Linked DNA regions of Drosophila melanogaster. Changing the gene in region 1 together with any one later gene gives a genetic interaction. Each region holds a gene or a part of one and is shown in the gene's direction. Other genes may lie near its edges. The genes, in order: mirr and fng.

Region 1 (3,922 bases):
GTTTTAGTTTTGGAATATATTGGGGTAACACAATTTTTAAAAACAAAAATGTTAAGGGATAGACGCATTTTTGATTACAGTATATAGTTTTTTTAAATTAATTTTATTGTCAACTTTACTTTAAAATAAATTACCAAATTTTTGCAATATTTATTGATATAATATTACAAAAATAAAAAATATAATATTATTAATAATTTGGGAAATTTTAAGACATATTTTTCGGTTGAAAGTATTAAAGTCATTCAAGACAAATGTGAAATTTCAGAAAAATACACTCGTAACCCCATGTTAGTGACCTTATTACAGTGGTTGGTTAAACATTTATTCTGGCACTATCAATCCATTAATTTTCATGAAAACTTTTCCCCATGGAAAGGAAAACCGCCCAAATAAATGACTATCGAGAAACTAATCGTTAATGTCGGAGCAATGGAAAAGGATAAAGCTGCTGCTCGGCGATGGTGACTTCATTTAAATGTTGTAAGAATTTGTTTACTGCGTGTGCGACACACAGCTCAGGTGGGGGCGGTAGATGTGCGGTGGGTGTGGCAGATGCAGTGGCAGGGGCAGGAGCAGGGATAACCACCGATTGCCAGGAACGACAAAGTAGCTTTCAAATGTGCTCAGCACTCAGATACATATGTAGCACATAGACGCCATCCCGCTCTAGCAGCTGCCGTCACTCCTCTCGAGTGGCGTTTCAATTAATTAGAAAAAGTTAAAGAAACGCCACGGCAAAAACGAGAAGCGAAGTACGAAAATACAAAAAACAAAAAACAAAAAACAAATACCTACATAATAAAATGTAAGAGCGTATGTTGTAGCAGCAAAAGCAGCGACGGCAGCTGCGGTGGCGATTTTTGTTCTTCTCGTTTTTTCTTCTGATTTTTTTTTTTTCTTTTTTTGTTGGAGCAGCGCGAAAGATGCCACCAATCCAGCCAAAGAGCCAAAGCGGTCAAGAGGGGCGGTGCAGGGGGTTGGTTGCCAAAGGGATGGGGTAATGGGGGAGGAGGGGGTTTCTGGAGGGGAACGGCCGTAGCAGCGACTGCGGCAGAGGCGGATGATAAAACATTACCCATCGCGTTTGGCCCAACCTCTTCACGAGTCTCGTCGTTCATGTTCATCAGGCTTTTCTTTTTTCATCAACGGCGAAAAGCGAGAAGCGAGCGTAAACACTTTGCTTTCATACGTCGCGACATTCGTCTTGTTGTTGTTGTTGTTGTTGCGTTGTTTATGGCAACAACTACACGTAGCAACACCCACGGCAGCAGCAGCAGCAGCAACAGCAACTGCGGCAGCAGCAGCAAGTAGCAGCGTTGCAACAGCAACAGCAGCAGCAACAACAGCAGCAACATCATCGCCGACAACAACAGCAACAACATCGCCTACAAATACATACATCGGCATTTACAACAACACGCAATAACAGCCATTTTTCTAGTTGTTAAGTTAATTTTTTCATGTTCTGCCGCTCTCGGTGTTGCTGCTGCTGCTGCTGCTTCTTGTCGCCGCTGCTGCTGCTGCTGCTGCTATGCCATCTCGCTCGCACGCCAGCAAGACGACAGCCAACGCGAGCAAGTTGCGATACTACCGCTGTCGCTGCCGCTTGGTTGCGATTCGTGGCCAACGGCGCAGCGGCTATAGCCATCCCGCTCTCGCCCGGCCGCAGCTGGCAGATACTTTATTTATGGTCACACAGGCGGTAGATACTTTTTTTGTTGCCCCCACCCCTCCACCTAACCAACTGGTTTGCTGCGTCTCGCTCGCACTTGCAGCGAGATTGGTGGCTACGTTTCGGTAGGGGGTTGAGGGGTATCTACCGTAGCATACCGATTCCGATGCCGATTCCAATCCCAATCCCCTGAGTGCCACACACAGCCGGAGCGCCAGCCCACTTATAATGATAATCATTATTGCCGTTGTTGCCGTTCGTGTTGTCGTCGTGCCGCCTCGTTTGCTACTTTTTCCAGCGCACACAGATACTTTTCGCACGCACACCAGCGCACAGATACTTGGCCGCTCTCAAAAAGAGCAAAGAGAGCGCACGCACACCAGCGAAGGTGCGAGTAAAAATTAAGGGGAGAAACCCGTTTGTGCGCTCTCTCGCTCACACATACAAACGCGGCGCGGGCTATGTATCGATGTGGTGGTGCGTGGGCCTGTTCTTGTTGTTGCGCTGCGCTGTTTTTCGATTGTCGGTTGTCGTGTAATTCCCATTTGTCGTACACTTTGTAGTTGCTCAAGAAACTCATGTTAGTCTACTTTTGACTGTTACGCAGATTGTTCGTATCGTTCGTGTCCGCCGCAGTGCCAGTGCCGCAGTGTGAATAATAGTGCTCTCTGCCCGCCGCTCGCCGTCGTTCTGCGAGCTGGATTCAAATTCAGTACCCAGATTCAGAAACAGAATCAGATTCACACCCAGATACTACTATTTGCTGCCGCCGCCTCTGGTTCATTCGTGCTTCGTTTTCGCATCCTCCGGATAGAGCTGCTCCTCCCGAATACCGATTCTACCAATTCTACAAATTTAAACGACTCACATAAACGATTCCCGTCGAGCCGCCCGTCGGATTTTACGGATTTACGGTGCCCAGTAGCGCCTGTGTTGGCCAGCTAACTCGAGTTGGCCAGCTCCTTGCAGCCGTCGGCAAGTGCAACGCAGTGCAACGAAACGAATAACAAAAAAAAATAAACACAGCCCAAAGAAAGTAAACACTGAAATAGCTCGCAAGCCGGATCCAAAATCAACATAAAAACTAGTTCGGATCAATCACAAGATCACAGATCGCACAATCACAATCACTTCACTCGGATTATAAATCTATCTAAATACACATACGTCGGTTCAGTGCGCGAGTCCATCGGTGCATCGTAACTCTAAGATTTGCTTTATAGTTTTAGTTAAAAGCAAAAATTAATATTAAATGACAGTGCACAGTAATGAAACCGGTATCTGTTTAGTAATGGTGCGTATATCAATTTGTTTTTTTTCCCCCATTTTTTATTACTTGTAAGATGGTTCAGTTAATCGCTGCATTTTAGCTTGTCTGGCATTTGGATAGTGGCAATTAGATTGAAAACCCGTTCAGCTACGAGGCAAATCAGTGCAACACATGTAGATAAAAGCAGAAACAGTGGGATTACTCTGGGTTCGAATACCTTAGCATTTTGATTTGGCAAACGGAAGACATGGATTTAAAAATAAAACAGATTGAAAATGTCAGGACCACAAGTGTGCTACATTGGGCGAACAACACGCGAAAAACCGTCTGCCAATTCGGAAAATCTCTCTTATGCATCAATGTCTCTTTGGTTGTTAACCAAGCTGGCAAGGTCACCGCACATCGTGCTCAGTCACACTTGAGTGTCCAATAGGATTTTAGCCATAATAATCCCTCAGTGGTAACACGATCCCCAGTTAATATGGTATCCCTGTTCCAAAAATTTAATCGCTTGCACTCGACACTCGAGCATATTCATATATTTTCATATATGTATGTAAAAGCAACTTGTGGCGCAAAGTCGAAAGCTGAAACGGAATATCGGAAATATTAAATGCTCTTTAAACAAACATGAATGGCTGTCACTCTACCCTCGCCATCATAATGGCTACCCGAAAATAATTTACTTTAGCCGCAAAACGACCACTTCGAGTTGAGATATTTGTTGTGTTATAGTTATAGCCTGTAGCCATAGATAGTCGATAATCATCGGCGGTTGATTCAAAGAGCCGCATTGATAAGAAATCGTACGAGTGTATTGTGGATCCATCCAGCCATCCGGCAAACACCGGGAATTAATTTTTAATCGCATAGGGCCACTTGAGTTGTCACTTGATGAAAGCACGAGACGCAACACCGAACCGAATCCCAACTGCAACAGCAACATCAGCGACAACATTGTGGCGGTATCAATCACG
Region 2 (3,922 bases), 8.3 Mb from region 1:
ACCATTTCAGAAAACATTTTTGTTGTGCTGCAAGCTGCATGCGAAGTTGTATGGTATTTTCAAAAGTGTTATTGAACAATTATTTTTTAATTTTTATGGAGATCTTAAAATGGTTTGGGATGTGTAAGTCCGAGTTGAGCACTGAGTCCGTGGCAACGCCTTCGGTTTACATTTTACAATCCTAACAAGGTTAGGCCGCCCGATAAACGGAGCTGCACTCGTTTGGTTATAAGGCTAGGTTGTGATCTGGGCTTTTCAGCTGAAGTTGCAGTTGAAGATGCAGTTGAAGTTGCAGCCGAAGTTGGAGGCTGGGGATCGGAACTTGGAACAGGCAGCTTGCAGCTGGAGGTGGCACATGCCTAACCGGCAACCAAGCTGCTATGCAAACACACACACACACACACACTTATACGGAGCGGAATGGTGGCCATGGCTACGAACTGTACATACGGAATTGCACATTAAAAATGAGCAATGGGAGTGGGCGGAATACGGAGGAATGGGAAGTGGGTTCCGAGGGTTTCGTGGCAAGCGGGCGGCTGATTCCAGCCGAGCGATGTCTTTTTCTGTGGCAGAACAAGGTTGGAATGGCCTGCGTCGCCGCTACCACCGTCTCTGCACCGGTAGAAAAATCATACTGACATAATAATAAACTAATAAAAATAATTAAAACACTGTGAAGGCCAATTGATTTTGCTTGCTCATTTGGGTACACACAATGGCCACTTAAGTTAAACAGTTTTAAAGCCCCTGGGTAATTGTCGATGGTTCTAAATTTATGCTAAGCTTTTGTATTTAAAGGGCTCAGTCTTAAATAATCTAAAACATTAAACTATTAAGGGTTGGATAGATTTTTCAGCTGACACAAGGCGATAAAAGTTTACATTTTTATGCTGTTCTCTTACCGAATTAAATACGAATTCACTATTTTCTTGCAGTGCTCCGCCGACTCTGCTTAATGCAATTCAGGCGAAAGGCGCACAAAGGGACAGCGAACAAGATGCCGAGTTGCTGATTGTGCGGGCAGCGCAGTCGACGCGGGCAGAGGTGTCCGCAAAAGCTTTTGTCGCCGCCACAAACATGGAATATGACAAGCTGGTGAGGAGTAGGATGGGATTCGGATTGGGATGGAATGGGATCGAGCTGAATGGGCTGAGAGCAGCAAGAGGAGGAGGAACGGGAAGATACTGCTGGATGGTGCCTGGCATGCAAAGCATTGTCAAGTGGGGAGCAGGCCAAGTGCTACACAAAAACCGAGCGACAAAGAAACGTCGCAGAACGCTGCCGACGCACGTGAGATGTGGATGCATTTGATGCACGGAGCGAGAAAGGGATGTAGAAATTAGTAGTTTGAAATTATTGTAAAAGAATTCTTCTGTTTGTATTTTTTAGTTAAATTAATTACTTATCCATAAATACACTGTCTAACTATTTCTAAGCCACTTAAAGGTATAATATAATCTGAAAAGACCTCTCTATTTGAAATAAAATTTCAATGGTAAATAGAGGAGCGGCTCTTGAATGTTTAAATAAAGTTTAATGCTTGCACTTTTTGTTCCAAGTGCATGATTTAAGAGTGTGTAGGCTTCCCTGTGTGGGCAGGGTAGGGAAGCCAGGCGAAAGAGCGATGGAGAGAGCGAGAGACAATGGCGACAATAAAAATGCGATCGCACAACATGCTCCACAGATAAGTTAACGCAAAGTGACAACGTACAACTTTTAATGGAATTGTCGTCGCCGACGGTGGGCGGTGGGGCGTGGCAGGGTAGTCAGGAGGGGAGTGGGGGTATATATGACATAGCCAAGAAGTCACCGCATTTGGAGCGCTGCCAAGTCAGTTGAACTATGTTTACTTTAAGGATACGGCCGCCACCTGGAAAAGGGACCTTCAAAGGCTGCCTTACACGATTCCGAATCCCCGATTCCGATCAGAAGTGGGCTGAGTGGGGGTCGACACACGAGCACATGAAAATTGCCTTCGGCAGCTACTGTGGCACAAGCTAAAGAGAGAGGATGAGAGCGAGCGCGATCGAAGAGAGAGCGCCAGCTGCTCCCATTGGAGCAGCTAACGTTTCCAATTGGACCAGCTCAAAGGGAATTCTCTCTCTCTCTTTCTCTCTCGCTACTCTCACCGCTTACTGGTCTTTCTGGTTTTTGTTTTGTTTACGATTTTCGCTGGAAGAAGAGAAGAGTAGATCGCGCTACCACAATCAGTTGCTTTTCAAGCTTGCCACAAGCAAGACGTCAGTGCGCGCGTGCTGCGATATCGAAATCGAAATAAACTTAAAAGATATCGTAATTTCAGAAATCGAGCAGAATTCATACGATCCAGGAAAAGAACCAGCTAATATTGGAATATAAAACCTACCCAGTGATCAAATCGGCGGTGCTTCAATGTGCGCGTAGTGGTCCGTAACCGTATGATGAGCCTGACTGTGCTCTCGCCACCGCAACGTTTTAAGCGAATCCTGCAAGCCATGATGTTAGCCGTCGCCGTCGTCTATATGACCCTACTGCTCTACCAGAGCGCCTACGGATATCCGGGCATCCAAGTGAGTTGCGAGTTCGAGTGGGCGACATAATCCAGCTTGCGTGGGTGTTGTTAGCGCTGCGAAACTGTCAAACGTGTGTGCTCCGCACTGATCTGCATAAGTTGCAAAGCTGCAAAGGCCAGGCAATTTGCATTATCCCCCTTTGATTCCGATCCCGATCGACGTCGACTCGTGCACTTTCATAAATCAACGCCGGCGACTTGAGTTTTGCAGCTGCGGCTTTGGCCGTTAAAAAAACCTTTTACGCCCTTGCCTTGCATATAAAACAGTTTCGGTGCTTGGCTTTTTGCGCTTTTATACCCTAATAGGGGGTATCATAATTGAACACAAATTTCGGCGAGGAAGCGTTTTAAAAGGATATACCCTACGATTGGTGATTGGATGGGGATCGGTATCACGGGGAATTCATTTGGAACTAAGGACTTGATTGCTTTAGAAATTGTGCAGAAGTTTATGTAGAGGTAGTGCCTAGCTTAGTGGTTTGTTTCAAAAATGGAAATATGATCCTGAATTTATTTGTTTTTTTTTTTTACAATTAAGCTTATATTTGATTGATTTAAGGACAAGAGAATGTAATTCTGTTAAAGTTGATGTTCAAAGATCGGCTCGCATTATCGAGACATTATTAAAATCCTAAAATCATACCATTAGGCACTTGGAATATATTTTTGAAAATCACCAATACTTTCCAATTCCCACAAGAGTATTCCCAGTTTCGATTACCGAAGATCCAGTCAACCGTTCCTGAATTTCTTGGTTTGCCGTCGGCAGAGCGTCGCCAAAGCTTTCAGTTGCCTGATTCCAGGGCCTGTCAGGGTTCTGAGCCCTGTCTGCTCTGCCCATTTATTATTGTTCTCTTCTTACTCTTGATTTTTGCATAAATTTTTGTGTAATAAAATATTGTGTGCTAATATTACCAAGGTGTGCGCTGCGAGGGGGGATCTCATGGAGGTGAATCTCAATGGACTCGTCCAGTGGAAAACCTTGTCAGTTGCATCACAGATAACAAATAGTTGAGGTCCGTGGGAATGGCCTTAGTTAGCCTCCTATTGCATTGCAAACACTTTTTGGCAGGGTTTTATGCGAACAGGCTATTTTTAGAACCCTTGAAATTCGAACTATGTGTCCACCTTCTAGGATTATCATATTTTAAAAACTTTAAATGAAACGACGCCATAAGAAAATAGTGCACATATTTTTAATCAGTTGCATATACAGATTCCTCAAAGTTTTCTTCCAACATTTCTTTATATAGTTCGATTTTTGTTAAATGAACCCTACTGCTGTAGTTATACCTTCAACTGTTACAGCTCCCTAACTAAGGCTTACAAATTTCATAATATTAGTGATTCGAGCCGCTGGCAATAGAG

The links.
Region 2: of mirr (region 1) and fng, changing one suppresses a phenotype caused by changing the other (phenotypic suppression), as found in Drosophila melanogaster (one study listed by BioGRID).

What each region holds. Positions count from the first base shown.
Region 1 is NT_037436.4:12,691,385-12,695,306, forward strand, and holds the start of mirr (mirror), read left to right. Parts: upstream 1-2,254; 5' UTR 2,255-2,927; coding exon 2,928-2,969; intron 2,970-3,922.
Region 2 is NT_037436.4:20,947,800-20,951,721, reverse strand, and holds the start of fng (fringe), read left to right. Parts: upstream 1-2,209; 5' UTR 2,210-2,420; coding exon 2,421-2,552; intron 2,553-3,922. UniProt on the Drosophila melanogaster protein: Glycosyltransferase involved in the elongation of O-linked ligands to activate Notch signaling. Possesses fucose-specific beta-1,3-N-acetylglucosaminyltransferase activity; extends the O-linked fucose on the Notch EGF repeats.